Linked DNA regions of Stegostoma tigrinum. The protein of the gene in region 1 purifies or fractionates together with the protein of each later gene. This does not show direct contact. Links are inferred from orthologs where the notes say so. Each region holds a gene or a part of one and is shown in the gene's direction. Other genes may lie near its edges. The genes, in order: stx8, syntaxin-7-like and vesicle-associated membrane protein 3-like.

Region 1 (10,593 bases):
TTTACACACTAAAGCTGGCCACAATTTCAGCATTCACAGCAAGTGGAGACAAACATGAAAATCATGAAGTTGCAGACTGCCACTTGCTGCTCGAGGACAGCTGATGGTTCCTAGACTGTACTGTGGCCAATCCACACCACCTACATCCCTTTCCACTCACCAACCCACGTCATTAATCAGAAGCAGCATGAAACCAGTAGATGTTGTAAGAACTTAGTCTCTTCCACTCAGCTCTTGCTGTTTGAAACCACATATAAAGCAACCGCAGGAATTGCTACACTTGCCCCCACACCTCCTCCCTCACCCACATTCCAGGCCCCAAGAAGACTTTCCACATCAAGCAGATGTTCACTTGCATATCTGCCAATGTGGTAAGCTGCATCTGCTGGACCCGTCGTGGCTTCCTCTACATTGGGGAACCAAGTGGAGGCTTGGGGACTGCTTTGTAGAACACCTACGCTCAGTTCGCAATAAACTGAACCTCCCAGTATGAACCATTTAAGACCATAAGACCATAAGACATAGGAGTGGAAGGAAGGCCATTTGGCCCATCAAGTCCACTCCACCATTTAAATCATGGCTGATGGGCATTTCAACTCCACTTCCCTGCACTCTCCCCATAGCCCTTGACTCCTTGTGAGATCAAGAATTTGTCGATCTCTGCCTTGAAGGCATCTAACGTACCGGCCTCCACAGCAGTCTGTGGCAATGAATTCCACAAGCCCACCACTCTCTGGCTGAAGAAATGTCGTCTCATTTTCATTCTAAATTTATCCCCTCTGATATTAAGGCTGTGCCTATGGGTCCTAGATTCCCCGCCTAACGGAAACAACTTCCTCGCGTCCACCCCTTCTAAGCCATACATTATCTTGTAAGTTTCTATTAGATCTCCCCTCAACCTTCTAAACTCGAATGAGTACAATCCCAGGATCCTTAGCCGCTCATCATACGTTAAACCTACCATTCCAGGGATCATCTGTGTGAATCTCCGCTGGACACGCTCCAGGGCCAGTATGTCCTTCCTGAGGTGTGGGGCCCAAAATTGGACACAGTATTCTAAATGGGGCCTAAATAGAGCTTTATAAAGCCTCAGAAGCACATCGCTGCTTTTATATTCCAACCCTCTTGAGATAAACGACAACATTACATTTGCTTTCTTAATCACGGACTCTACCTGCACGTTAACTTTTCGAGAATTCTGGACCAACACTCCCAGATCCCTTTGTACTTCTGCTTCATGAATTTTCACACCATTTAGAAAATAGTCTATGCCTGTATTCTTTTTTCCAAAGTGCAAAACCTCGCATTTACTCACATTGAATTTCATCAGCCATTTCCTGGACCACTCTCCTAAACTTTCTAAATCTTTCTGCAGCTTCCCCACCTCCTCAGTACTACCTGCCTGTCCACCTATATTCGTATCATCGGCAAACTTCGCCAGAATGCCCCCAGTCCCTTCATCCAGATCATTAATATATAAGGTGAACAGCTGCGGCCCCAACACTGAACCCTGCGGGAAACCACTCATCACCGGTTGCCATTCTGAAAAAGAGCCTTTTATCCCAACTTTCTGCCTTCTGTCAGACAGCCAATCCTCAATCCAAGCCAGTCGCTCACCTCGAACACCATGGGCCCTCACCTTGCTCAGCAGCCTCCCATGAGGCACCTTATAAAAGGCCTTTTGGAAGTCTAGATAGATAACATCTACTGGGTTTCCCTGGTCTAACATACTTGTTACCTCTTCAAAGAATTCTAACAGGTTTGTCAGGCATGACCTCCCCTTACTAAATCCATGCTGACTTGTTCTAATCTGACCCTGCACTTCCAGGAATTTAGAAATCTCATCCTTGACAATAGATTCAAGATTTTTACCAACTACTGAGGTTAGGCTAATAGGCCTATAATTTTCTACCATTTGCCTTGATCCTTTCTTAAACAAGGGGGTTACAACAGCAATTTTCCAATCATCTGGGACTTTCTCTGACTCCAGTGACTTTTGAAAGATCACAAACAAAGCCTCTGGTATTTCCTCAGCCACCTCCCTCAGAACTCTAGGACGTAGCCCATCGGGGCCAGGAGATTTATCAATTTTTAGACCTTTTAGCTTTTCTAGCACTTACTCTTTCGTAATGCCTACCATACTCAACTCTGCCCCCGACTCTCCCTAATTGTTGGCATACTACTCATGTCTTCCACTGTGAAGACTGACGCAACGTACTTATTAGGTTCTTCAGCTATTCCCTTGTCTTGCATCACTAGCCTTGCAGCATCATTTTGGAGTGGCCCAATGTCTACTTTTGCCTCATGTTTGTTTCTTATGTATTGGAAGAAGCTTTTACTATCATTTCTAATATTACTGGCTGGTCTACCTTCATATTTGATCTTCTCCTTCCTTATTGCTCTCTCTGTTATCCTCTGTTTGTTTTTGTAGCCTTCCCAATCTTCTGATTTCCCAGTGCTCTTGGCCACTTTATAGGCTGTCTCTTTTTCTTTGATATATTTCCTGACGTCCTTTGTCAGCCATGGCTGTCTATTCCCACCCCCGATAATCTTTCTTTTCTTTGGGATGAACCTCTGTACTGTGTCCTCAATTACACCCAGAAACTCCTGCCATTGTTGCTCTACTGTCTTCCCCGCTAGGCTCTGCTTCCAGTCGATTTTCGTCAATTCCTTTCTCCTGCCCTGTAATTACCTTTATTTAACTGTAACACCATTATATCCGATTTTGCCTTCTCTCTTTCAAACTGCAGACTGAACTCTACCATATTATAATCGCTGTCTCCTAAGTGTTCCCTTACTTTAAGGTCTTTTATAAAGTCTGGCTCATTACATGGCACTGAGTCCAGAATAGCCTGCTCCCTTATGAGCTCCATCACAAGCTGTTCCAAAAAGCCATCCTGCAAACATTCCATGAATTTGCTTTGTTTGGATCCACCGGCAACATTATTCACCCAGTCCACCTGCATATTGAAGCCCCCATGATCACTGTGACCTTGCCTTTCTGACATGCGCTATCTATTTCCCGGTGCGTCTTGCGCCCCAGGTCCTGATCACTGTTAGGAGGTCTGTACATAACTCCCATTATAGTTTTTTTGCCTTTGTGGTTCCTCAACTCCACCCACACAGACTCCACATCCTCTGACCCTATGTCATTAGGTGCTGTAGATTTATTTTCATTCTTAATTAACAAGGCAACCCCGCCCCCTCTGCCCACCTCCCTGTCTTTTCGATAAGTTGTAAATCCTTGAATGTTTTACTGCCAGCCCTGAATTCCCTGCAACCATGTCTCTGTGGTGCCTACCACAGCATAATCAGTCAAGAGGATTTGTGCTGTTAATTCATCTACTTTGTTGCGAATACTACCAGCATTTAGGTAAAGTGCCTTAATGCTAACTTTCTTATCATTGTTAGAGAGATTGGAAATCCTAAAATGTCTTAAGCTATCCTTTCTTTTTGCTGTATTCCCCATCTGCCTCGAGCTGAAACCTACCTGTACACATGCTATCCTGTTGGTTATCTTATATTGCAACTCCGCCTCTCATTCCTTAGACGACATGTTCATTGTGGGCCTCCTGCAGTGCCACAATGATGCCACCCGAAGGTTGCAGGAACAGCAACTCATATTCCACTTGGGAACCCTGCAGCCCAATGTCAATGTTGATTTCACAAGCTTCAAAATCTCCCCTCCCCCCACTGCATCCCAAAACAAGCCCAGCTTGTCCCCGCCTCCCTAACCTGTTCTTCCTCTCACCTATCCCCTTCTCCCATCTCAAGCCGCACCTCCATTTCCTACCTTCCAACCTCATCCCGCCCCAGTGACCTGTCCGTCCTCCCCGGACTGACCTATCCCCTCCCTACCTCTTCACCTATACTCTCCTCTACAGGCGCCACCCCCGCCCCTTTAACTTGTCTGTCTCCTCTCCACCTATCTTCTCTTCCAACTATCTTTGATCTGCCTCCCCCTTTCTTCCTAATTATTTCAGAACCCTCTCTCCATCCCCCTTTTCTGATGAAGGGTCTGGGCCCGAAATGTCAGCTTTTGTGCTCCTAAGATGCTGCTTGGCCTGCTGTGTTCATGCAGCTCCACACTTTGTAATCTCGGATTCTCCGGCATCTGCAGTTCTCATCATCTCTGATAAAGTTATTACGTTGCTCAATGAGGAGTAACTGCCAACGTTTTATATTAGATGCATTCAGTATTATTTGATGAGAAACAATATTTAGGGCTCTAGGGGGAGGGCTAGTAAATGGCACTGAATGATACGGACATTTAAAGGGTTGTGCAGACATGGTGGGCTGAATGGTCTCCTTTCCTGCAGTGAATATTCTGTCATTCTGCAAGTTATTAAAATTATTTTGATTTTAATACTTTTATTTCCTGTTTGGACTGGTTATGACAATTATTTCAAGTGATTAGCTATTTGGACTGTTCAAAATGCCTGGAGATCCACTCAATCCCCATCAAAAATGCTGCAGTCAACTGCATTGTGAAAAGACTCAAGTTCTGTTCACTGAAATTGCAAGCTCTTTCAAGAAGGCTTTCTGTGAAATCAATGATGAACATCTTTGTTTAATTGTTAGCCCAATATCGAAGCCAATCTGGCAGCTGTAACTTCTGAAATATCATTTGTTTATAATCTAACAAGTAAATATGTACAATTAATACTAACTTGCTTCACTATATCCATACCATGAAACAAAGTGAAAGTAACTTTTGGTTCTTATTCCTTCCAATTTTAGAGAATTTGAAAATCTGATACTTTATATTGCACAGTTGGTTCATTAATGTGTATTTTATTCAAAATATCTTGAATGATCTGTATATTTCTAAAATAATTATCTGGTAGTTATACACTCCACTGATTTTAAAATTAGCAGATTTTCTCCCCTGAACTTTTCATGGGATTTTGGTGACATTGACAAGGCCAGCATTTATTGGCCACCTCTCATCGCCCCAGAGAAGGTGATGTTGATGGTGTCTCCTTGAATACTGCAGCACACTTGAGAGGACTGTCATGTTACGTTGTGTATGGATACCCAGCACAGTGCTGTTTGGAAGGCAATTCCAATGTTTTGATCCAATGATGCTGAAGGAATGTAGAACAGAACTGCAATGTCATTGATTCTAAAATGCCCTCTGGGAAATTAGGGATGAGTAATAAATGCTGGTCTGCCCACCAACACCCACGATCCCATGAATGATTTTCTTAAAAGGCAGGAGAATGTGTGGCTGAGAGGGAAACGTGGTACTCTTAGCTATTGGCAACTTTCAAAAGTTAAATTATTCACATAACTTTTCCAAAGTAGGAAATCATGATGTTCCATTGACTCAACTCTGATTTCCCCTCAGTTTGTGCAGGACCAAGGATGGTTGTTGCAGATTTGGCGTCATTTACTTGGGCAGGTAATGGAAAGAGAGAGGGAAAGGGGCAAGTGACAAGGCGGGGGGAACTAGAGGGGCAGGTGATAAGAAGATGGAGAGGGGAAGGGGCAGGTGACAAGGCGGGGGGGAACTAGAGGGGCAGGTGATAAGAGGGAGAGAGGAAGGGGCAGGTGACAAGGCGGGGGAGAACTAGAGGGGCAGGTGATAAGAGGGAGAGAGGAAGGGGCCGGTGACAAGGCGGGGGAGAACTGGAGGGCCAGGTGTGGGGTGAGGGTTTGGGAGGCTGCGGAAGAGGAGGTGGTTGAAAGGCGAGAAATCTCGCCCGGAACCAAAGTTCCGGGAGGTTGTGACATTTGGTGCCGAAATGTGAGACGGACAGAAACCAGGAAGTAAAGAGCAACAACAACAACAACAGAGAGAGTGAGAGAGAGAGAGAGATAGAGATGGCCCGGGAGCCCTGGTATGGGAAATGGGAAATGGGAAATGGGAGGGGTTGGTGGTGGTGGGTATTTCGAACCCGCTTTTTCATATCAGCCGCCTCCGGTTCAGCCGATTGCGGTTGTTGTGCGAGGGAAAGCCCCACAATCTCAAAGTGGGTGAGCTGTGCTGTGTGTGAGAGGAAAACATCCTTTAATCAGGAATCTTTACAGCACCGGGTTTGTGAGATGTCTTTTGTAAGGGGCAGGGCTCAATACCTGTATTGACTCCGGGTTAAACCCCGCCTAGATTAAAAAATTCTCGTCCTTTTCAAATGCTCCTGTAACATCTGTCCTCTCTGTACCCACTAAGCTCTGAAATTCCCTTCCTAAATCTCTCTTCCTGTTCTATTGCACATATCTCGTTTAAGTTGCTGCCTAAAATCTCCCACTTTGATTCTTCTCCTGGTCATCTGTCCATAATGTTCTCTTATGTGTCTCCGTGTCAAATATTATTTTGGTGATGCAGAGATGTGTTTTCTTGGTCTGTAACTTTAAAGAGTATATTATTCACTGTGATCGTATTTGAATTGGCGTTGCTGGTTTAAACGCAGTAAGATCCCATCAGGCGCAAATGAACTTGTTTGATCATGCGAATTTGAAGGTCATTGAGAGCCCGTCTAATTAAGCAAGAGACCTTTATATCCACTTAAAACGTGAGAATAGACAGAAGGGGGATGAGTTTAACATGTCAGCTCGGTGACAGCATCCTGAAGTTTGCAGCAGCTTCTTCATGCTGTGTGGATCTGTCCAAGTAGTTCAAGTCTTTGAACATGTGAGAAAGAGACTTGAAACTTATCCTGTGACATAGGCAAGGGGGTAACCAAAACTGTCATAGGAAAATGCTATTAGAATATATTTCAGTGCTGTTTAAATTTGCGTTCTAAGCATTTTAATTTGATTCACGTTTGGATATCTGTAATCGTCTTTCTCTTGTTCTATAGGTTAATGAAATATGATTCCTCCTGTCATCTAGCACAGGAAATTGCTGAAAATATTCATGAGCGTAATAGACAGAAGACAACAGGAGGTAATCCTTCCAAGGTAAATTAAGTGATGGATACTATTATTTTACAGTTCCTCTTAACAGAAACATTATAAAATCTCAACATCACGCCTGCCCAGTAGGCATTATTTGTATGAAATTTTAAATGAGAAAACTATACACTAGGTTTAATTTTAAATTTATATGTGATTTATACATGTATTTTTATTCTCAATATTTTTGTTTTGTGTGTTTCTTATTCTTAAAACTTAGCAATATATTGCCCGAACAACCTGACACCCCTCGGATATCCTTGGTAGGGATGTAAGCTAATTAATTTTAACTTTCAAACATCCTTCATAGAGATCTACAGCACAGAAAAGGGCTCTTTGGCCAACTGCATCCACACTAATCAAAAACAACTACCAAATTTACTCTAATCCCATTGATTCTGGGATGGACATCAGTAATTTATAACTACAGTGGAATCAACTGCAATTTACCAGCTTCACTGGCTCCATTCTGAAGCCGACACAGGACCGCCTATTAGTCAGTGGTTTCACCTCTAATTCTAACCAATTTAAGGAAATGTGGACTCTAAAGAAGTTGTTAAATTTGAAAAGGTTCAGAAAAGATTGACAAAGATGTTGCTGGGATTGGAGAGTTTGAGCTATAGCGAAAGGCTGAATAGGCTGGAGCTGTTTTCCCTGGCGAATCGGAGGCTGAGGGGTGACCTTTACAGAGGCTTATAAAATCAAGAGGGGCAGAGATAGGGTGAATAGCTAATGTCTTTTTCCCAGGGTAGGGGAGTTCAAAACTAGAGGGCTTTGGTTTAAGGTGAGAGCAGGAAGATGTAAAAGGGATCCAAGGGCAACTTTTTCATGCAGAGGGTGATGTGGGTGTGGAATAAGCTGCCAGAGGATGTGGTGGAGGCTGGTACAATCACAACATTTAAAAGGCATCTGTATGGGTGCCTGAATAGGAAGATGTTTGAGGGATCAGAGATAATGGGGATTGCAGATGCTGGAGAATCCGAGTTAACAAAGTGTGGAGCTGGATGAACACAGCAGGCCAAGCAGCATCTTAGGGTCACAAAAGCTTACGTTTCGGGCCTGGACCCTTCATCAGAAGTTGGGGATGAGGAGAGGATTCTGAAATAAATAGGGAGAGAGGGGGAGGTGGACCAAAGATGAATAGAGGAGAAGATAGTTGGAGAGGAGAGTATAGGTGTGGAGGTAGGGAGGGGATAGGTTAGTCTGGGGAGGGCGGACAGGTCAAGGGGCCGGGATGAGGTTAGTAGATAGGTAATGGAGGTGCGGCTTGAGGTGGGAGGAGGGGATAGGTGAGAGGAAGAACAGGTTAGGGAGGCGGGGACAAGCTGGGCTTGTTTTGGGATGCAGTGGGGGGAGGGGAGATTTTGAAGCTGGTGAAATCCACATTGACACCATTGGGCTGCAGGGTTCCCAAGCGGAATATGAGTTGCTGTTCCTGCAACCTGCAGGTGGCACCAGTATGGTACTGCAGGAGGTCCAGGATGGGTATGTCGTCTAAGGAATGGGAGGGGAAGTTAAAATGGTTCGCAACTGGGAGGTGCAGTTGTTTATTGCGAACGAGCATAGATGTTCTGCAAAGCGGTCCCCAAGCCTCCGCTTGGTTTCCCCAATGTAGAGGAAGCCACAACGGGTGCAGCAGATGCAGTATTTCAACCAAATGCTGGTAAATAGGACTAGATTTATTTAGGTATCATCCTCCGACACTTCCGCCATCTACAATCCGATCCCACCACCCAAGATATTTTTCCATCCCCACCCTTGTCTGCCTTCCGGAGAGACCACTCTCTCCATGACTCCCTTGTTCGCTCCACACTGCCCTCCAACCCCACCACACCCGGCACCTTCCCCTGCAACCGCAGGAAGTGCTACACTTGCCCCCACACCTCCTCCCTCACACCCATCCCAGGCCCCAAGATGACTTTCCATATAAAGCAGATGTTCACCTGCACATCTGCCAATGTGGTTTATTGTATCCACTGTACCCGGCGTGGCTTCCTCTACATTCAGGAAACCAAGCAGAGGCTTGGGGACCGCTTTGCAGAACACCTCCGCTCGGTTCGCAATAACCAACTGCACCTCGCAGTCGCGAACCATTTTAACTCCCCCCTCCCATTCCTGAGACAAAATGTCCATCATGGGCCTCCTGCAGTGCCACAATGATGCCACCCGAAGGTTGCAGGAACAGCAACTCATATTCCGCTTGGGAACCCTGCAACCCAATGGTATCAATGTGGACTTTACAAGCTTCAAAATCTCCCCTTCCCCCACCGCATCCCAAAACCAGCCCAGCTTGTCCCCGCCTCCCTAACCTGTTCTTCCTCTCACCTATCCTCCCACCTCAAGCCATACCTCCATTTCCTATCTACTAACCTCATCCCGCCTCCTTGACCTGTCCATCTTCCTTGGACTGACCTATCCCCTCCCTACATCCCCACCTATACTCTCCTCTCCACCTATCTTCTTTTCTCTCCATCTTCGGTCCACCTCCCCTTGTCTCCCTATTTATTCCAGAACCCTCTCCCCATCCCCCTCTCTCATGAAGGGTCTAGGCCCGAAACGTCAGGTTTTGTGCTCCTGAGATGCTGCTTGACCTGCTATGTTCATCCAGCTCCACACTTTGTTATCTCGGATTCTCCAGCATCTGCAGTTCCTGTTATCTCATTTGTTTAGGATATCTGGTTTGCATGGACGAGTTGGACTGAATGTCTGTTTCTATGCCGTACAACTTTATGACTCTATCCTTGGAATTATCATTGCCTTACAGCTATTTACAAATTTCTCAAATCCAGGATTTCCCATTTCTATTATGTTTGTTAAACATTTTGCAACCCTAAATTCATAGTTATACTCCTAAAACATATGAATCACGAAATGAAACATTTTTACAACACAACAATGGATTTGATTAAGAGCAGCATCTTTTTCCTTCAAACAATAGGAATGGTAAACTGACCTGCTTTTGATGCAGCTGAACTTTTTCATTTCCTTTGATTTATTTTTAGATCCATACTGCTGTATTGTAAAGATAGATTAAATTGCTTTGAATTATCAATTGGGCATCTGTCAGTTTTGTTCAATGCTGCAAAAGTTTCATACATGGGCCTTAGGAATGATAGATTTTTGTGGGCAAAATCACTTTTTCCTAGTTTCAAATTTTCAGTATTTAATGACCACAATGTTTCTTTCAGATCAACAGTGAAGTTAATAGTGCTGAGCTGTGTTTAGGTACCTATGGTACAACAATTTTGGGCATGGTTAAACACCATTTTTAACAAGTTGCTGTTCAAAATGTTCTGCCCTGCCATTCACTTCAGTAAAATGGCATTCTGCGTTCCACCTCAACATTGAAAAACATTGAACAAATGAAAAATTGCTGGACAGTGGATAAGCACTAAATTTGTCACAGAACGTTTGAAGTCTTTTAAACCTTTCTAGGAACTCCACCATGCGGTGACGTCTTGTCCAACAAACTGCAACACGGATGGCAATACTGTGCAGAAGCATTGAAAGCAGGAGTGAGAGCAGAATCTTGGCCCCCTGCTCCTTCCTGCTTTGGCCCTTCCGCCTCCCTCATCTTTCCACATTCTCCACCTCAGGAGAACAGTTTTCCTCTCTACTCAAAGGCCTGTGGCTCCAGGATTGGTCAGTGAGTCATCTGAGGAGCCACAAGCCTCAAGGTGAGGAACTGAAGATGAC
Region 2 (10,593 bases), on another chromosome or scaffold:
GTTTCATTAAACTTTATGGCAAGTTATCTTTTTGTAGTGTGATGAAAGGTGTCTGTCTTTTGATATATATATCATTCTTAGAATTTTTGGTTATAGAATAGCAACACATAGGGTTGATTAGTTTTATGCAGATTTAAAAAATCCAACACCTTGGTCAAATAGTCATTCTGAAACAGTGACCTAATTCATTTTAGGTCAGAGGGCAGGGAGACCTTGGAGTGAAAATAGAAGACTGTTTCGTTGAGAGTCTTTGCTTGTTTTCGGTTCAACGTAATCAAGGATTGATTATTCCTCAGAAAACCATAGATTACAAGTTTTTGGGCGGGTCAGAGGAGACCTTATTGGTGTCAAAAGAAACTTCATATCCCGGAAAGAAATATAAAGCAATCTGGGGAAAGCATAGTTACAGCAGTAACAAGTTTATTTTGTTTCCCTTCCAGAATAGCAGCGTTTGGGTAGAAATCTGCAGGTTACCAAAAACTGAGGAAGTCTAACTCTCGGCTTTGTGGATGAGCATACACAAGAACTTCATAGCTCATATGAAAGAACCGGGGAAAATCAGCTAATTTTAAGCTAATGATCTGATAGAGATGAATAATTTCTGCAGATTTGAATTTTCATGACAGATAATGTGGGGAAGTGAGATGACACTTTGTTTTGCTATGTATTTTAAGATCTTTCAAAGTGTGTCCTAGATCTAGATAACTTGGTTTGCTCATCTTCTTCTTCTTTTCATCTTTTGTGTATGTTGTGTATCTGTTGTGGCTTCGTGAAAGAGCTAAATTGCAAAGTAAGATGGGGTTTTGACAGACCCAGAGCTCTGACTGAGTGGCAAAGTGTAAAGGGCAAGACAAGGCTTAAATGCTGTGAGCATCCAAGTAGGCTCAAGTGAGTACTATGATAGCAAGTGAACAATTCTAAAATGCAAGAATAACAAGGTGTGGAACTGGATGAACACAGAGGCCAATCAGCTTCATAGGAGCAGGAAAGCTGATGTTTCGGGCCTAGATCCATCAGCTTTCCTGCTGCTATGATGCTGCTTGGGCTGCTGTGTTCATCCAGCTCCAACCTTGTTATCTCGGATTCTCCAGCATCTGCAGTTCCTACTAATTCTAAAATGCAGCCTGATTCAATCTGTGAGCTGCATGTCTGTCCATGTGTGCACAGTGTCCTCGCAGCAGTATTACAATAATTGTTGGTGTGCCCTGAGGTGCGCATGACCACAAAGCAGCATGGCTCAACTAGATTGGAGATGTGCCATGATGATTCAAAGAGTCTGACAAGTGTCCAACGACAAGATCCGTGGACATCAGCTGCCCACGGACCGTGCCCTGAGGTTTGGTGTTGGGTGTCCAAGATGGTGATCTGGAAGTGGAAGTGGTGAGCTGGAGAAGCCAAGCACCTGCTCAGACTTCCATGTGGAAAATTCTCAGCATTGAGTTTCTTTGTAGCAGGAGGTAGGATGGGAAGTTGCATATTAATGTAGCAAGATCTTCATTACAAGGCTGAAAACAAACAATAATCTCCATATACATGAATGTTGCCAATACTCAGCAAGAATCCCATTTCAACAACTGGAATTTTATTGGAAAAAGCAATCAGCTGCTCCCGATGTCAATAAAGGCCTCACTGGGCTTCTCATTTGAATCTCTGATGAAGGGCCTAGGCCCAAAACGTCAGCTTTTGTGCTCCTGAGATGCTGCTGGGTCTGCTGTGTTCATCCAGCCTCACATTTTATTATCTTGGATTCTCCAGCATCTGCAGTTCCCATTATCACTTCTCATTTGAATTGCCCAGATTTCTTGCCATAGTTCTGTCATTGGCAAAACAAATACATTTCAAATTAGTTCAGAGATAGTAGGAACTGAACATGCTGGAGAATTCGAGATAACAAGGTCTCGACCTGGGTGTACACAGCAGGCCAAGCAGCATCATGGGAGCAGGAAAGCTGATGTTTCAGGCCTTTTTGAAGAAGGGTCTAGGCCCGAAACGTCAGCTTTCCTGCTTCTATGATGCTGCTTGGCCTGCTGTGTTCACCCAGCTCTACACTTTGTTATTTCACATTTCAAATTAGGTTTACTTTTGAGTGCAATGAGTGCCAAAACTGGCAATTCTACCCAAAGTGAAAATTCTATCCCTGCATCTTTATCTAAGCTTTTAGACACCTGTCCTGAATTATTTTCGCTTGGTTTATTATCAAATTTTGTTTGGTAATGCCATTAAGAGTTACATTAAAACCTTTTACTATGCTAATAGTATTCCATAAATACAAATTGTTGCTGTTGAACTTGTGATCCATCGGTCTACATTATCAATCAATAAAAATGAGTACAAATCTAATCAAGGCTATCTGAGAATCAAATTCATTTCAAAAATCTGGAAATAGAGTTATTTTACAACAAGACAAAGTTGTTTCATTTGTGCATTTAAACTAAAATCTTATCATCACAAGAAGGATTAAATAAAGGACCAAGCTTCATGTAAAACTTATAGCATTTACTTGTGCCAATCCAGCAAAGAGAATTTACTAGGATACTTCAGAATGTGCTAAGCTGGTGTTTAAGGCACATTGAAAATTATAATAGCTAAAAAATAATGCATATCAAAAATATTAATCACATTAAATTTAGCAGTACTATGTAACATGTTTCTTGTTATGGCAAAATGAATGGCAAAGTTTTACAGAACATAAAACACTGGAGTTATTTTGATTGATAGAAAATAGTTGTAAATTTTACGTAGATGTGTTTCTGATTTCATTTAGATCAATTATAGAAAATAAAGTGGGTGGACTTTTGATCCTTAACTTTAACTCTCTAGTTCTACATCAGCAAACCCCGGTACAATGTTTTTCTTAAAGTTAAATGAGATTGCACTTCAGTTTCGTGTTATATTGGATATTGACTCAACCACATCACAAAGAAATATTAAGTCACATGAATTACATACCTGGCTATCACATGGCAGATTGGATTAACAATACCAGGTTGCACAATCCAGAGCCTGGAAGCATTTAGCAAGAATATCACACAGTCAATACACTGATCCTGTGTTAAAACAGTAATAAAATGTTGTAGAATATCCATTGTATGTGTTAAATATCAAGTACATGTTGATAATAGTCATGTGGTTAAAAAAAATCTGAAATTTTATGCTAGCATGTTTAATTTTATTGTAATGCATGTCGTCAATAAATTTTCATATAGATTGTGTTTGATTATTTGATTCTTTAAGTGGCATCTGGCCTCCAGTTCATTTCAAAACTAACTGACGAATTTTCCTTAGACACAGGGGTGTTGCCTGAAGGCTGGAAAATTGCATTTTGCCCTTTTCAAAAAAGGATATAAGGAAATGTCTAGCAATTATAAATCAGCTTTATTTTGGTGATGTGGAAATTTCTAAAATAATATTTTTGGTGTCATATTAATTGTCACATGGACAATTCCAGGTTAATTAAAGAGCGCTAACATGGATTTCTTAAGGGAAAATTATATCAAACCAACTCACTGGATTTTTTTGAATACATAAGACAGAAGTGATGAGGGTAAGGTAGTTGTGTGGTATACATGGTCTTTCAATGGACATTTAATACAATGCCACATGTGGGATAAAAGTACCAGTGAGTATAATGTATACACAACTGTGAGAGTGACAGGAATCAGAAAGTAATGGCCTATGGTTATATTTCGAGCTGAAGGAAACTTAGTGTTGTGGTGTTTCCCAGGGATTGGTATTGCTTTTTCTCCTTTATTCATTGATGGGATGAGGGTGTCACTGGCCAGGCAGCATTTATTGCCCATCCCTAATTACCCAGAGGGCAGTTAAGAGTCAATCACATTGCTGTGGGTCTACAGTCACATGCAAGTCAGACCAGGTAAGGATGGCAGTTTCCTTCCCTAAAGGAGATTAGTGAGCCAGATGAATTTTTCCTGACAATCGACAATGGATTCACTGTCATCATGAAATTCTTAATTCCAGATATTTGTTGAATTCAAATCCCATCATCTGCCGTGGAGGGGTTCGAACCCAGGTCTCCAGAACATTATCTGTGTCTCTGGATTAACAGTCCAGTAATAATACCACTAGGCCATCACCTCCCCTACATTTTCTCAATATATGTGAAATCTTTTGACAGGGGATAATTTTAAATTTTGCAAATTATAAAAAAATTTTGAAGTATTGTAAACTGTGTGGATGGCAGTATAAAACTTCAAAGGATTTTGACAAGTTGGTGTAGTGGTTGTATCAATGGCAGTTGAAGTTCAATTTGCAGAATTGTGAGGTGAACATGCAGATATAAAGGGGACAGACAGAGTAAAAAACAGATACTATTCTAAAGGGAGTGCAGGAGCAGAGAGACCTGGGTATATAGGTGCATAATTCATTAAAAGCAAGAAAGCAGGTGAGGAGTGAGGTTAATACAGCATATAGTATCCCTGGCTTTATTAATAGGTGCACAAACCACAAGAGCAAGGATGTTATGCTGAACTCATTTAAGACATTAGTTGGAACTCAGCTAGGGAATAATGCACAGTCTGGGTGCCATACATCAGGATGCACGCGAATATATCAGAAAGAGTACAGAAAAGGTTTACAAGAATGGTTATGAGGATGAGAATGCTCAGCAATGGTGATAGATTTGAAAAGTTTGGACTATTTTCCTTGGAGGGAAGACACTCAGCAGAGATCTGAAAGAAGTTTTCAAGATCAGGAAAGCTCTCAACAGAGTAGTTAGGGAGAAGCTGTTTCACCTTGTAAAAGAGGATGAAAAGGGCAGACATTTTAACTGTTTTGGCAAAGGGGCAAACATGAGGTGAAAGGAAACATTTTCACAGAGCAAGTGGTTCACGTCTAGAATGTACTACCTGGAAGTGTGATGGAAGCACGTTCAATGGAGGCATTCATGAGGGTATTAAGTGATTATTTAAGTGGGAACAATGTGCAGACTTATGAGGAAAGGGTAGGAGATTGGCATTAAGTCAAACAGCCCAGAGGGCCTGTGCAAACCCAATCACTTGAATGGCTTCCTTCTGCACTAAAGCAGCTCAGTATTCTGTGATATATCGCACTCCAGGAACTTAGTAGATACACCAAGGCTGGATCTTCTTGAAGGTCTGATAAAATCTTGCACTTCTAGCACTCTTGTTGGTTGAGATGCCTGAGAGTCCATCTGCCTCTGGTACATGTAAAAGACCTCACAGCACTATTTTGACAAAGTCCGCGGAGGTTATCTCTTTTTCCTTGGCCAATATTTATTTCGCAATGAACATCACGACATCAGACTGGGTGGTCATTAGAAAGTTGGTGTTTGTAGAGTTTGTACAAAGGTGGCTGCTGCACTTCCGGTATTGCGAGTGTTGACTGCGTTTCAGAAGCCCTTCATCAGCTGTCAAGTTTGGAAGTCATGAAAAGCCCTACGCCAACGCAAGTCACTTTTTTAACTTAAATTTTACCCCAGAAACATACTGCTTCCCCTTTGCCTTCAAGGACAGGGCAGATCTGATACAATATATCGACAGGGAAGGCCCTTCTTCGGCCGCCAGCGACAATCTACGCACGCGCCAGGCAGCCAGGTGCGGTGCGGGGTGGGTAAGGTCAGCGGATCAAGGGGGCGGGGCCGGCGTAGGGTCAGAGGCCGAGGTGGTACCGTCAGGGTAGGTGGGGTTGAGTGACCGTCCCGAACAGGTAGGATCCGCTGTACACTGATCTCCCGGTCTTTGTTGGTGCTGGTAGGCAGGCTAGGCTCTGAGCCTTGAGGGGGAGGGATCCGCCTGGAAATGCGGCCGGGCCTCGGAAGCAGCCAACCCCGGTGGGTAAGAGCCCAACCCAGCGCTGTCCAGTCCAGTGTTTCTGCCGGTTCCCCCCTTTCCCTTGATCCGGGGAGATCAGCCCCTTCTCTCCCCAGTCCCACCACCCCCACCTCCCCGCTCCCTTTCCTCGCCCTGTAACTAGTATAGAGCTGTTTGTGAGGAAGGGAGCATTGAGCCAGGGAACTCTCTTGAAGGACGTTCTTATGAGTGCGTCTGTGTGGAGGAATTGATCCCAACCGACAAGAATGACCAGACAGTCCCAGGTTTGCCTCCCCCTCCCCTCTCCCAGCGGTGATTTCTCTGACCCTAACCGGGGTGGCAGTAAAAAGGTTTCCCAGTTATTCAGATTTCTCACCGTGTTCAGCAACTCTGACGGGGCGCCTGGGTTTCTGTGTGACCACAAGGCTGAGATTTCCGTTTCTGTTTATTTCAACACATAATGTAGAACAGCTCGGGCTCTCTTAACCCTCCCTTGTTGACAGTTACCGTCGAACTTGCCGGTGATGGTGGGTTATTTAGCAAAGAATCGTAAGTGACTGGTGTACATGGGAGAAATTTGCAATCTTATGTTAGCTGTGGGGCGCATTTGGTATTTTTCAGATGTCTGAGTCAGAAAGATTTGGGCTTAAATGCCATTCCAGAATTTTAACACAAAACACAAGGCTAAAACTCGATAGCAACACCGAGGAGACGCTGTACTGTCGGAGGTGTAAACTGAGGCCATGTCTATCATAAGATAATAAAATGTGAGGCTGGATGAACACAGCAGGCCAAGCAGCATCTCAGGAGCACAAAAGCTGACGTTTCGGGCCTAGACCCTTCATCAGAGAGGGGGATGGGGAGAGGGAACTGGAATAAATAGGGAGAGAGGGGGAGGCGGACCGAAGATGGAGAGTAAAGAAGATAGGTGGAGAGAGTATAGGTGGGGAGGTAGGGAGGGGATAGGTCAGTCCAGGGAAGAGGGACAGGTCAGTCCAGGGAAGAGGGACAGGTCAAGGAGGTGGGATGAGGTTAGTAGGTAGATGGGGGTGCGGCTTGGGGTGGGAGGAAGGGATGGGTGAGAGGAAGAACCGGTTAGGGAGGCAGAGACAGGTTGGACTGGTTTTGGGATGCAGTGGGTGGGGGGGAAGAGCTGGGCTGGTTGTGTGGTGCAGTGGGGGGAGGGGACGAACTGGGCTGGTTTAGGGATGCAGTAGGGGAAGGGGAGATTTTGAAACTGGTGAAGTCCACATTGATACCATTAGGCTGCAGGGTTCCCAGGCGGAATATGAGTTGCTGTTCCTGCAACCTTCGGGTGGCATCATTGTGGCAGTGCAGGAGGCCCATGACGGACATGTCATCTAGAGAATGGGAGGGGAAGTGGAAATGGTTTGCGACTGGGAGGTGCAGTTTTTGTTGCGAACTGAGCGGAGGTGTTCTGCAAAGCGGTCCCCAAGCCTCTGCTTGGTTTCCCAAATGTAGAGGAAGCCACACCGGGTACAGTGGATGCAGTATACCAATTGGCAGATGTGCAGGTGAACCTCTGCTTAATGTGGAATGTCATCTTGGGGCCTGGGATAGGTGTGGGGGCAAGTGTAGCATTTCCTGCGGTTGCAGGGGAAGGTGCCGGGTGTGGTGGGGTTGGAGGGCAGTGTGGAGCGAACAAGGGAGTCACGGAGAGAGTGGTCTCTCCGGAAAGCAGACAGGGGTGGGGATGGAAAAATGTCTTGGGTGGTGGGGTCGGATTGTAAATGGCGGAAGTTTCGGAGGATGATGCGTGTTCTCCCTTGTGACATTCCACATTAAGCAGAGGTTCACCTGCACATCTGCCAATGTGGTATACTGCATCCACTGTACCCGGTGTGGCCTCCTCTACATTGGGGAAACCAAGCAGAGGCTTGGAGACCGCTTTGCAGAACACCTCCTCTCAGTTCGCAACAAACAACTGCACCTCCCAGTCGCAAACCATTTCCACTCCCCCTCCCATTCTCTCGATGACATATCCATCATGGGCCTCCTGCACTGCCACAATGATGCCACCCGAAGGTTGCAGGAACAGCAACTCATATTCCGCCTGGGAACCCTGCAGCCTAATGGTATCAATGTGGACTTCACCAGTTTCAAAATCTCCCCTTCCCCTACTGCATCCCTAAACCAGCCCAGTTCGTCCCCACCCCCCACTGCACCACACAACCAGCCCAGCTCTCTTTCCCCCCCCCCCCCCCCTGCCCACTGCATCCCAAAACCAGTCCAACCTGTCTCTGCCTCCCTAACCGGTTCTTCCTCTCACCCATCCCTTCCTCCCACCCCAAGCCGCACCCCCATCTACCTACTAACCTCATCCCACCTCCTTGACCTGTCCGTCTTCCCTGGACTGACCTATCCCCTCCCTACCTCCCCACCTATACTCTCTCCACCTATCTTCTTTACTCTCCATCTTCGGTCCGCCTCCCCCTCTCTCCCTATTTATTCCAGTTCCCTCTCCCCATCCCCCTCTCTGATGAAGGGTCTGGGCCCGAAACGTCAGCTTTTGTGCTCCTGAGATGCTGCTTGGCCTGCTGTGTTCATCCAGCCTCACATTTTATTATCTTGGAATTCTCCAGCATCTGCAGTTCCCATTATCTCCCATGTCTATCATGTTGCTTTGACCTAAAACATATCCTGCGACACTATTCTGAAGAACAGTGGAGTTATCCCTAATACCCAGACTAACGCATCCTTGTGAATCGACGTTCTAAAACCGGACTGAATGCTTTTTATAATATGACCGTTTGTAGGTCTTTTGTATACAAATTGTTTTCCCCTCAACAAAACAGTGGCTTTGAAAGTACTTAATTTACTGGAAACTTCATTCAACTGTCTTAAGTTGTGAAAAGTACTATACGAAATCAAATCTTTGGGGAGAGGAAGAAATATTATGAAAATGCATGAGTCTCTCTTGGGGGATTGACAGTGAAGGAGCAGAGGAGGAGAGAGGGGAAAGAGGTGGGAGAGTATTATCTTGTGATTCTGTTTTATTACATTCTGAATAGTAACTAGTACTTTTGAACTTGTATTTCTAATGAGCTGTCAGAATTGAGTTGTAAGGTTGCCTGCATAGTGTGTAAACATTGATCTAAATTATCAGTGAAGGCCAGGTGTTATGTACTGAAATTCTTGATTAGGTTACAACATTGTTGCCTAGTCGGTATATTAAACCATTTTTTTAGGTTTATTTCTGTTTATATAGTATTTGCAAGATCTATATATGAGCCACTGATTTTTAGTAGAAGATGCTTGAAATTTGAAACTTGAATGCTAGAAGTTATAACTTTGTTCATTTTGAATTGTGGTTGGTAATTTTTATTTCATCCTGGGGGTATTCTGTATTAAATTTGGTTTAGTTTATAAAAAATTATTGTTGTCGTGAGCACTTGCAAATTACGCATTTCTAGTACAATTCCTTTATGATCAGCCTGCTGACTGACAGAAGTTGATATCCTTGGCATATTTCTTTAATATTCTTCAATTGTGCCTCTGTTCTTTACATAATCAATTAATTAAAGTTCAATTACCACTACTCTTTAAGGTATAACATCATCTTCATTTGGCAGCATATTACATATTTGAAATTCATTTGTATACATTTTCTACTCTTAAAATAAACACTTTGCTATAATTTAAAGTAACTTCAAATGGCAGGTTATAAGAGCCGCATAAAAGGTAATTGCACAAGACAGGAGCTCACAGTATTGGTACTGTATTGGTGCAGACTGAAGATTAGTGAACACAGGGAAGACAAAGTCAAGATTAATGGGTTTTTTCCAGATCGGCAGGGCATAACTAGTGGAGTGTCACAAGCATCAGCTCTACGGCCTCAATTTGTTTACATTCTATATTAATGATTTGGAGGTGGGAGAAGATTATACAAATGCAGTTTTGCTGATATAAAAATAGGTGTTGAGGTCATGTTGTGATTTGGACACGAAATCTGCAATGGGATATAGATGGGTTGAATGAATAGGCAAAATAAGTTGGCAAATGGAGCTTAATGTAGGATATTGAGGTTGTGCACTTGGTAGGAAGAATCAAGAGGTAGGCAATTGTTTAAATGGAGACAGACTCCAAAATAGTGCAGCAAAAGGGATTTGAGTATTCTTGTCCCTGAAATACTAAATGTTAGCATTTCAGATGTATTACATATTTAAGAATACAAATGGAATTTTGGCTGGAATTATTGCTAGGGTGTGACGTTTAAAACTAGGGAAGCCTTCTTCCACTGTAACAGAGTGTTGGTGAGGCTGCACTTGGAGTATTGTGGATAATTCTGGTCTCTTCCTTAAGAAAGGAATTTAATTTTATTGGAGGCAGTTCATCCAGCTCCACACTTTGTTATCTCGGATTCTCCAGCATCTGCAGTTCCCATTATCATCTGTAATTCTCTACCCTGGAGAACTGTAGAGATTAAATCACTGAATATGTTTAAAGGGTAGGTAGATGGATTTTTGAAATGTCAAGGAGCTGACATGAAAGAGGAGTTGAGTGGCCTCGATCACCACCTCCTTCCTATGTTCTATATAATTCATAAGCCTTAGGGTGTCTTTGAGGTGTGAAGTTTTAACTTGAGGCTGCAGTTGTTTGTTTAGATTAGATTAGATTCCCGACAGTGTGGAAACAGGCCCTTCAGCCCAACAAGTCCATACCGCCCCTTGAAGCATCCCACCCAGACCCATCCCCCTATAACCCACATACTCCTGAACACTACGGGCAATTTAGCATGGCCAGTCCACCTTGCCTGCACATCTTTGGACTGTGGGAGGAAACT
Region 3 (10,593 bases), on another chromosome or scaffold:
CGAACTAGGCCTCCTTCCCGTCAAGCTGGGCAAATCTTGATTTTGACTCTCAGCAGGCAACCCATGAATTAAAATCTACTTCTCCCACACCAGCCTTTGAGCCATGCATTCATCTCTCTCATCTGATCTGCCCTATGCCAATTTTCACATGGCCGGAATAATACAGCCAGAGATTATGACCTTTGAGGTTCTATTTCTTAATTTGATGCATAGCTCCTCACACCCACTATCCAGAACCTCCTCCTTTGTCCTGCCTGTGTCATTGGTATATATGTGGCCTGTGAGACTTGATCCTCTCCCTCCATTGCAAGCTTATTTCCATCCTTCGCATTTATCCTGAACCCTGGCACAGTCAAGCAACACAACCAACTGGACTTATGCTTTTTCATAGAATCCCTACAAAGTGGAAGCAGGCCATTCAGTCCATTGACCCTCCAAACAGCATCCCACTCAGACTGACATACCACCCTACCCTATCCCTGTAACCATGCCTTTCCCATGGCTAATCCACCTAGCGTACACTTCCCTGGACACTATGGGAAATTTAGCATGGCCAACCCAACTAACCTGCGCATCTTTGGACCACGGGAGGAAACTGGAGCACCTGGAGGAAACCTGCACAGATGCAGGGAGAACATGCAAACTCCACACAGTCACCCAAGGCTGGAATTGAGCCCAGGTCCCTGGCACTGTGAGGCAGCAGTCCGAACCACTGAGCCACTGTGATGCCCATTTGTTTTTCGTCAAGAAAGATTCCAATCTCTTTAACTATACTATCTCCTAAAATCACTACATTCCTTTTTGTTGCCCCCAACTTGAATGATTTCTGTACCACAGTGTCACAGTTAGTGCATCCATTAGATAGACCCTAACCTCAACCAAACAAACTAAAGGAACCTCAAACCTGTTGACAATTATAAAGGTTCCTGCCCTCTGGTTCTCCTTAGCTGCCTCATTTCTAGCCACACTCTCTTGTCCCTGAACACTGACCAAGTCAGAAGATCATATCCTAACAGGTGTGACTGGGTCTAGGTACAAAGAAGCCAGATACATTTCCGTCTCCCTAAACTGTTGCAGTGTCCACTTCATAAGCTGAGTCAAATCTGCTCAAATCTCAAATACTTGCTGCAGACGTGCATGTCCTGGATCAAGCTGGCATCCAGGAGCTTCCCAAATGCTACATCTGTGACAAATCACCCACCCTGCCATTCTTAATGTGTTCTAATTAACTACTTAATTATTTTATTCATTTATACATTTTCCCATTTTTAAAATATACTTTGTTAATTTTATCACACTTTTGAACTTTAGGAATAGATTACACCTTGGTCATTTGCTCGATGTTCACCAAATGACGAACTTATTCTGCTGTAGCCAATTTCTTAAATAGAAAAAGTAAAATCAAAAGAGCATTTCTTTCCTTTCTTCCCCTAACTCCTTAACCACCCAACCTCCAAAACTCTCATTTGGAAAGTCGCACTAAGTTGGAAAGTGTTAAGTAATGCTCCGAGTACAAAAGGCCTAGTTGATACAGCTACAGAGAAACTAGTTTCAGCAGATTGAATTTAACTCATCTCAGTTGTACTTCCAGGAGACCTGGTTAAAAACAAAGAACAGTACAGCACAGGAACAGGTCCTTTGGCCCTCCGAGCCTGTGCCAACATATTTTGCCCTTCCATACTAAAACTGTCTTCAATTACAAGATCAGTATCCCTCTATTCCCTTCCTATTCATGTATTCAACCAGGTGCTTTTCAAATGCTGCTATTGTGCCTGCTTCCACGACCTCCCCTGGCAGCACGTTCCAGGCACTCACCACCCTTTGTGTGAAAAACGTGCCTCACACATCCTCTTTTAAAACTTCCCCCCCATCCCTCGCACCTTGAACCTGTGTTCCCTGGTAATTGATCTCTTCATCTTGGGAAAATGCCTCATACTTACCTCTCAATCCATGCTATTCATGATCTTATAAACTTCTGTCAGGTCATCCCTCAAAATCTTAAATTATAAGGTTTATAATTTCTAATTTAAACTGCAGATTTCAGTTAAAAGCTAACTACAAACAGAATTATATTTGTACAAAAAGATTAAAACTTTCTTTCCCACCAACTCCAGCATTCAGTTCTCCATAAGTCTTGGCACTGCTACTCAATGACAGCATCTGAAAACACATACAAGATTGGAGCAGGAGTAGGCCACTGAACCCCTCAAGCTTGCTCTGTATTTCAATAAGATCAATAAGCTTGCTGATCTATTTACTCCTTGTTCCTATCTATCCCCGATAACCTCTCACTCTCTTGCTTATCAAGAATCTTTCTACCTCCGCCTTAAAAATATTCAAAGACTCTATCTTCATTACTTTTTGAAGAAGGGAGTTCCAAAGATTCACGACCCTCTGCAAGAAAAAAAATCAACCTAATTGTTGCCTTAAATAAATGACCCCTTATTTATTAACAATATCCCCTCATTTTTGATTCTCCCACAAAAATATCCTTCCCAAATCCACTTTGTCAAGACCTTTCGGGATCTTGTATGTTTCAACTCATTCTTACTTTTCCAACATGCAGGGGATACAAGTCTAGCCAGTCCAAACTTTCCTCAGAAGACAATCCATGCATTCCAGATATTAGTCTTCTAAACCTCTCTGAATTACCTTGTACACATTTACATCTTCATTAAATAAGAAGACCAATACTGTACACAGATATTCCTGATGTGGTCTCACCATCACCCCTTATAATCTCCCTATTTTTCTCTTCAATCCTTTTGCATTCTATTGGATTTTCTAATTACTTACTGTACCTGCATTCTTGCCTTTTACAAATCATGCAGTAGAACACTTAGATTCCTCTGCATCTCAGAGCTCTGCAATCTCCATTTAAATAATAAGCTTCTTTCTTATTGTGTCAAAATGGACAATTCGACATTTTCCCAGATCTTTATCCCATCACTTAAACTATCCAAATCCCTTTTAGCCTTCTTTGGTCCTCTTCACATACTCTTTGTGTCTACAGAAAATTTAGCAATGTACCTTCAGTCCATTCATTCAAGTCATTGAAATAAACTGTAAAAGGTTGAGGCCCCAGTGTTGATTCCTGTGGCAAACTACCATTACATCTTGCCAACTAGAAAATGACCCAATTATTCCTATTCTCTGTTTCATGTTAGTCAGTCCATCTTCTGTCCATACCAATATGTTAGCCCTACACCATAAACTTTTACTTTCCGCAATAATCTTTGATATGGTATCTTGGCAAATGCCTTCTAAAGTCTAAGTATATTACATTCACCAGTTTCCCTTTATCCACAGCATCTTACTTCCTCAAAAAATTCCATTGGGTTAATCATGATTTTTCTTTCACAAAAGCACATTGACTTTGCTCAATAACCTTGAAAGTTTCTAACTGCTCAGCTTTAATGTGCTTAACAACAACTTTTAGCATCTTCCCTGTGAGAAATGTTTAGTCAACTGACCATAGAGTTTTCTGCTTTGTGTCTCCTTCCCATTTTGAATAAAGTTACGCTTGCTATTTTCTGATTCAGTTGAATCTTCCCTGAATCCAGGATGTTTTAGAAAATGAAAATGAATGCATCAATTATCTCATTAATCACTCCGTTTAAATCTTAGGCTGAAGTCCTTCAGGATTTGGGGACCTGTCAGCCTACAATTCTAACAATTTGCTGAATGTCACTTCTTGGCAGTTGTAATTCTCCCGATTTTCTCCCTGCCTTCACTTTTTTTTGGTTTCAAGATATTTCTAGAATGTTACTTATATCCTGTTTACTAAAGTGTAGTACCAAATACCTGTTCAATTCATCTGACATTGGCTTAGTTTACATTTTTAATTCCTCAGACTCATTTTCTGTTGGACTAATACTAAATTTTCTGTTTTATATCTGTAGAAACTCTTGTCATCTGATTTTGTTTTTCTAGCTAGTTTTCTCTCATACTCTAACTTTTCCCTCCACATGGAATTTTTTGTCAGTCTTTGCTTTTTTTTGTGAATCCTGTCAAATTTTCAATGTCAATTTCCAAATGTTGAAAACACCCAACTCTACCTCACCTTCACCTTAAAGAGTCAGAAAGTTGAACAACATACAGTACTTGATTAACAGGAATGTTCTCCAAGCAAATGTTGCAAAAAGTCAAGAACAAAAACAAAGTTTCTGGAAAAGCTCAGCAGGCCTGGCAGCATCCGTGGAGGAGAAAACAGAGTTACCGTTTTGGATCCAGTGACCCTTCCACAGAGTCATTGGTTCTTGTCACAAACTTAATTCATTAGCCACTGACTTTATCCATCTCAGTGTAATTATTTGAGGCTGCCCAAGACTGTTCATATTCCATACCCTCAGGATCATATTTTGCCCACATATACACCTTCATCAAGGCCGTGTACTACCAACTCTGCAACACAATTTATCTCCACCCTGCACCCTGACCAATGCATTTTTATCTTTAAACTTACCTTAAATCCCAATGCATTTGTGACCTCATAACAGCTGTAAACTTGAGGTCATCCAAAATCTACCTACTATGTTCTAACTTGCATTCATATCTAGGCTTATTGATCTATAGTGTTCCCACTTCAGCAATAAATCAGTTTCAAAATTCTCACCTTTTTAAATCACTCCATGGCCTCACTAATTTCCTGCTCTCTGTTTGCACCTTGGAACCCCCTCTGTTTTAATCATTCCACTGTTGGTGGCTTGCCTTCAGCTGTCAAGGACCTAAACTAAAGTTGAAAACCAAAAGAACTACAGATGCTGGAGATCAGAAACAAAAACAGAAGTTGCTGGAAAACCTGAGCAAGGTCAGAACTGAAAGAAGGGTTACTGAACCTGAAATGTTAACTTTGCTTTCACTCTGCTTTCTCTCTACAGATGCTGCCAGACGTGCAGAAATTTTCCAGCAATTTCTGTTTTTGTTCCTAAAATTCCCTTTCTAACTGTATATATTTAAATCAATCTAATTTACATGTTGTATTAAGTACGAACTTGGTATATGGTGCTACTTTCAGGAACCAATCAGGCTCATTACATCATTTTCCCCATAACATAAAGTATTTTCCTCCTACATTTATTATGATGCAAACATGGTGACATGAGAAAACCTTCCTCCCTTAAGTTATACAGTTTTAATGCTTACCAAAATCATCTTTCTGGTTTATACAGCGCAGCTAACTGGGCAGAGTACTAAAAACAAAATCATATTTGAATTTTTCACCTTTCAACTTTTTGTGGCCCCCTCAGTGTCCATTTTTTTTGCTTGTTAATTGCTTCTGCGACGGATGGAAGTTATTGGTGGCTCAAAGCCAAGTGGGGAGCTTCCCTGTCATGTTTTGTAATTAGAAACATCCAATTAAACTTTTCCCAAAGGCTGCCCTCATTGGTGTATTGGCATGTAACAGCGAAAGGGGTAAGTGAAGGATCGGTGTTGGGAGTCGGATTTATTACTGCTGACACCGGGGAGGGGGGGGGTTGGGAAGTGGTGACGTCTCCAACCTGCTGACAACACCCAACTTGTAAGGTTCAGCAGTTCGGGGTCTGATTCGACCGGTTTGTTTTTTATCTGGGAAACATGTAAGTTCGTTTCGACGTTGCTTCTGCTTCTTCTTATTTCCTTAAGTCGGCCTTTCGGAACGATCTCCGACACCACACCGCGCTCCGCTGAGAGCAGTCCGGAGCCCCGTTGAGTTTCCAGGCGAGCCGCAGGCTTGTGTTTGGAGGGAAGGCCGCAAACTTGTGTTTTAATTCCCCAGCGTAGAAACCAGGGGTTTTATAGGGTTCAGCCTTTTAATTTCTTAAATGTTAAAATTCCGTACAAATTCTAAACTTTAAACTAGTAACACCTTGAATTAATATTCCAAAGTGCTAAAGTTGAGTTGAGATAAGCTGAACTGTTTTGAAAAAGGAAGTATCTTGTGGCTTTACAATTCATGATGAAATTAATTTAAATTTAGTTTCTGTGGTTGTAATATTTTATTGTTTCATTCATGTATTTTTAAGTGTCTTAGTTTTGATCCTGTTTTATATAATGAAGTTGAGTGGTGCTTTTTTTTTGCATTGTGAATTACTGTTTAATGTTGATCAGTTCAGGCAAGGTACTTCCAGATATTGCTGCATTTAGAAGCTGAAAGAAACATTTTGTCACTTTTTTTGCCTTTAGCATGAAAGGAAGCTGGTTGGGGCATTGTGTGAAATGTTTTTCTATGGTGGGTACTTGGGGTTTTTTTGTTCACTTTTAAGGAACTTGGGATTTGTGGTCTCTAAGTTGGTAAATGAAAGAAGGAACTTTTATGCAGTAAGTGCAGAGGTCTTCCAGGATCCTCTTCTGGACTTTCTCTTTAATGGACTGTTACCTCACTACTACTGCTTATAATAACAAGTAAAATCTGGAATGTTGAAAGTAGAAATTTGAATTTCTTCATCTTACCTGTACTCCGGGGATGTTTGTTGTATTTGTGCTTGATTCAAAGTTGGGCAAGAGTGGACTGTGGCAAAAATGCATTGTGTGATACATGCTGTTCTGTCAGACTTTCGTGAGTTAATAGTTTTCCATTAACGCAAATCAATGCTTTGGTTCCCAATTGTTGCTTTCCAAAGGCAGTAAATTTGTTTTTTCTCTTTTAGATTTGAGTATGTTCCTTTCCTCTTCTATTTAAATAGAATGTGTTAGTAAATTCAACTGTTTAAACATGGTTTAGGGAAATGTTCACGTACCATTCCTGTCTTTTGAAAAATTTGTTGTAAAGTGTGGTTTGTTTACAAGGCCATTGTCGGAAACTCGACTCCTTTACCACTTGGTTGATCTTGTGGCAAATTGTACCAGTTGTTGTGAAGTAACTGGCACCCTATTGGTGCAAATTCTCAATTTGCTCTGAGCGTCACTTTAAAGCATAATTCATGAGAGACCTGTGTGTGGATGCAACTAAACTACGTCAACACTGCTCAGTTCACTATGGCGTCAGCCTGTTTGGGCCAGAATTGTAGACAATTAGCCTTTGAAATAATTATAGTTCAGCTGTGCTTGTTTGATTGGATGTGTGAACTTGTGCCAAACTGCATTAAGTCTTCAATTTTTTGTTGTGGAATGAGTCATGGTGTTTGAACAGGACTAGGATCAGGTGGGGATAGAGCACTGTTATCTTCATTTGATATTACTTTTACTGAAAGATTAAACTATTTAATGGGAAGTAACTTTGGGAACATGTCAACTTATTCCATCTATCTCAAGGAAACCAGAATGTGACTCTTAAAATGTGTAAATAACTTCTCAACAACCATGTTGAGACATCCTGATCTGTTAACAACAGGGTGTTGTTTGCTGTGTAATCAATCTAGTATTCTAGTTTGTTTTATTGCATTGTTGTTTGTACTCTGATCAAGTAAAATAACAGCTTATTTGTACAGTGCCTTTAACACCGTGAAATGTTTCAGTGCTTCAGTGTTGAGACAATTTCACATTAAGTCACGATATTAGCACAAGTGCAAGTTAGTGTTCTAAGTACTTAAAAACTAGTGAGGAGGCAGTTGCAAGGCTTGAGGTGAAGACCATGAAGTAGTGAAGTCATGGAAAGATTTGAAATCAAGGATAAGCATTGGCTGTGCTAACGCTTCCATTTCCAAATGTAGATAGGCAAGGATCGCTGAATGTGTTTTAAGGACAGGATCAATAGACTTTAGGTGTAAGACTGTTGAAATTTGCTGATCTGATCAAATTGTTTTCAACAACTAAATCTTCATGATTTTGTCTCTACTACTTTACATGGTGTTTGTGGATGCAGTTCCCTTCTCAGACATTTCCCATTGGAAAGGACAAAATCCAAACAAGCTTTAACAAAAAAAATTAACCATTGTTTCCAATCTCCAAATGCTGTTGAATGCATTAAACTTGGTTCCTAAGTTAGAGAAGGAAACTATCACTTGTGGAGCAAAACACAAGTGCAAATTGCCCTGGCTTCCGTGTGGATATTTTGAGCATTGACAGCGATGGTGGAGTTTGTGGTGCAAAAATGGCCTGAGCCTACCCTGTCGACCTGTAACTGGACTTGCCTAAATGTCTTAAAGTCCACCTGCTTATGATGCTGTTCTGGCTGAGATCAGACTGACTGCACCCTTATTTATTAGTGTTTTTGTTTTTCTGTGCATTACTTTAACTAGCCTATCTGAATTTCAAGAGGAAAAATCTAATTTGTTTGAAACCCCTCCTTATCTCTCAAATAACACCTAGTGTAATAACTCACCAATATCAGCACTCCCTCAATCCTCTCAATTCTGGAAATTTAAAAAAAAACTGGCGTAATGATGACTCTGTAACCACTGGTGCTTGGCAGAACTCTATCCAGACAGCTCTCCAACAGTCATCGAAATGAGTTTTACTCCAGCAACAGCTTGATTCTATGTAGTTTCTTTAAAACTTCCAGAAGCACTTCACAGATCCTTTAATAAAACAAATTTTTGATATTATACTCATTGTATGATGAGTATGTTGAACTGGGTTGGACAAGGTCAGAAGTCACATGACACCAGGTTTATAACCCAACAGGTTTATTTGAAGTCATAAGCTTTTAAAGCACTCCCCCCTCATTCACCTGACAAAGGGGCAGTGCTTCAAAAGCTTGTGTTTTCAAATAAACTAGTTGGACTGTAACCTGGTGTCATGTGACTCCTCACCAGCTACTGCTTAGATATTGGGGCAGGAAACCAAGATCATTGAGAATTTGGGCATCTTGGAGAGAATTATAAGTGAAATCTGGTGCCTGGACGTAGGCATGAGGAGTGGCAGATGGAGTTGAGGTTAGATAAATGTGAGGTGCTACATTTTGGAAAGACAAATCAGGGCAGCACGTTTACACTGAAGGTTGTGGGGAGTGTTGCTTAATAAAGAGACGCTGGAGTGCAGTTTCGTAGTTCCATCAAAGTACAGCCACCGGTAGAAAGGATATGAAGGAGACATTTGGTGTGCTCGCCTTTATCGGTCAGTGCATTGAGGATTGGAGTTGGGAGATCACTTAGCAGCCATATAGGACATTGATTCGGCTGCTTTTGGAATACTGCCATCGATTTTGGTCTCCTTGCGAGAGGAAGGATGTCGGCGCAACAATGAGGGCCGAAGGGCCTGTTCTGTGCTGTCTTGTTGTATGTTGTATGTATGTTGTAATACTAAAATGTGCAGGAATACACAGTTTGAGGGGTGCATTCTTGGGAGCATTGTAAGGTTGGAAAGACTGATCCCACGGATGGGTTTGCAAAAATAGAATGAGAACATGACTATACCTTTGTTAATCTCAAATGTAGGTTATTGACAACAGGGAGATGGGTGAACAGATATTGCTTGAAGTCAGGATGCCAGACTTTTTTATTGCTTTGAGGCTCTTCCTGTTCAGCAGGCTGCTTTCATAAGGAAGCAAAGCCCTGTAACACTCGCGCTCTGACATGAAAACGATAACAGCTGGAAATACTGTTTGACCTGATGGGTGTGACTAGACTGAGAATGTTGAAGTTTGAGTTGGATTGATCTTTTCAAAGCTGCCTGACCCACTGAATGTGTCCAACATTTTGTTGCCCTTCAGTCTTGCAGTTATGCTGATCTAATTTGAGCTAACAAACACATGATCCTCTTTTGCTTTATCGTAAATTGTGAAGCATTTTTTGTTTTGAAATTCACCCAAGATTCTATAATCCCAAATGGTGTACATGGAATTTGGGAAGAAAGCACCCCTCCCTGCCCTGTCTTGTTACAGGGCCCTTGTAGCAAAACTTTTTTACGTTGCTTTTAACAATGGTTTAAAAATTGGTATTGAGCCAACCAGTCTGTTAAAAATGTGGCTAGTTTTTACATTGTGCCTGCTGTTTCAATAGCAGAGACCTTTTGTCCAGCTCTTCAGCTGTATTCAATAAATAAAACAAATTGCATTTTCTCAATTCTGGAGTGCTCACCTAGTGAAATACTTTGTGTAGCCATTTAGCAAAATATGATGGCCCGTTGCAGATATACCAGGACCTTGCTGTAAATCATGAGTGTCAATCTTATTTCTATTCTTCTATTTGTGGTTAATTTCATCTGACCAGACAGACCTAAGCATAAATTATTTCAGTTTAATATCATAAAGATATCCTGAAGGTGAAACTCTTCAATGCTTGTGAGATGAATGGAACAACTCGCTCAATATTTTTGTCTGTCATTCCTTCTGCAGTTGCTTGTCATCGTGACCAGTACACATATTGACAGTTGCTGTCATTAGATCAAAACCCTGAAATCTAGTGGGACTATTGGCACGCCTTCACAGATACAAATGGAGACAATTCAAGATGACTGAATACTGCCATGGGCAAATGAGGAAAAGCTGTAATTGCTGGTCTTGCCTGTAATACCTTGCACAATGATAAAAATGGGAATTAGTGGCTGTCTTTCTAACTTGTAGTCTTAAATTTGGATATCAAAGCACCTATTGAATTCACTGTGCACATGGATGCCTTACCACTGACACCACTACATAATAAACTGTTGCAGTAGGGCTGTGGTTAATATTCACGTGTTAATGTCGTTCGGCCTGTAGAAAATGCCACACAGTTAGAGATGAGGGACACTGGG

Evidence for each region.
Region 2: the proteins of stx8 (region 1) and syntaxin-7-like purify together in Homo sapiens (affinity purification with mass spectrometry; 5 studies listed by BioGRID and IntAct, counting the BioPlex papers as one, with this or other methods). This does not show direct contact. The link is inferred for Stegostoma tigrinum from reciprocal best matches to the Homo sapiens genes STX8 and STX7.
Region 3: the proteins of stx8 (region 1) and vesicle-associated membrane protein 3-like purify together in Homo sapiens (co-immunoprecipitation; 3 studies listed by BioGRID and IntAct, with this or other methods). This does not show direct contact. The link is inferred for Stegostoma tigrinum from reciprocal best matches to the Homo sapiens genes STX8 and VAMP3.

What each region holds. Positions count from the first base shown.
Region 1 is NC_081375.1:31,211,929-31,222,521, forward strand, and holds the start of stx8 (syntaxin-8), read left to right. Parts: upstream 1-5,737; 5' UTR 5,738-5,826; coding exon 5,827-5,843; intron 5,844-6,803; coding exon 6,804-6,903; intron 6,904-10,593. UniProt on the Homo sapiens protein: Vesicle trafficking protein that functions in the early secretory pathway, possibly by mediating retrograde transport from cis-Golgi membranes to the ER.
Region 2 is NC_081357.1:71,866,855-71,877,447, reverse strand, and holds the start of syntaxin-7-like, read left to right. Parts: upstream 1-5,321; 5' UTR 5,322-5,424; intron 5,425-5,601; exon of another isoform or gene 5,602-5,685; intron 5,686-5,707; exon of another isoform or gene 5,708-5,809; intron 5,810-5,950; exon of another isoform or gene 5,951-6,073; intron 6,074-6,316; exon of another isoform or gene 6,317-6,338; intron 6,339-10,593. UniProt on the Homo sapiens protein: May be involved in protein trafficking from the plasma membrane to the early endosome (EE) as well as in homotypic fusion of endocytic organelles. Mediates the endocytic trafficking from early endosomes to late endosomes and lysosomes.
Region 3 is NC_081381.1:24,204,945-24,215,537, reverse strand, and holds the start of vesicle-associated membrane protein 3-like, read left to right. Parts: upstream 1-5,470; 5' UTR 5,471-5,577; coding exon 5,578-5,579; intron 5,580-10,593. UniProt on the Homo sapiens protein: SNARE involved in vesicular transport from the late endosomes to the trans-Golgi network.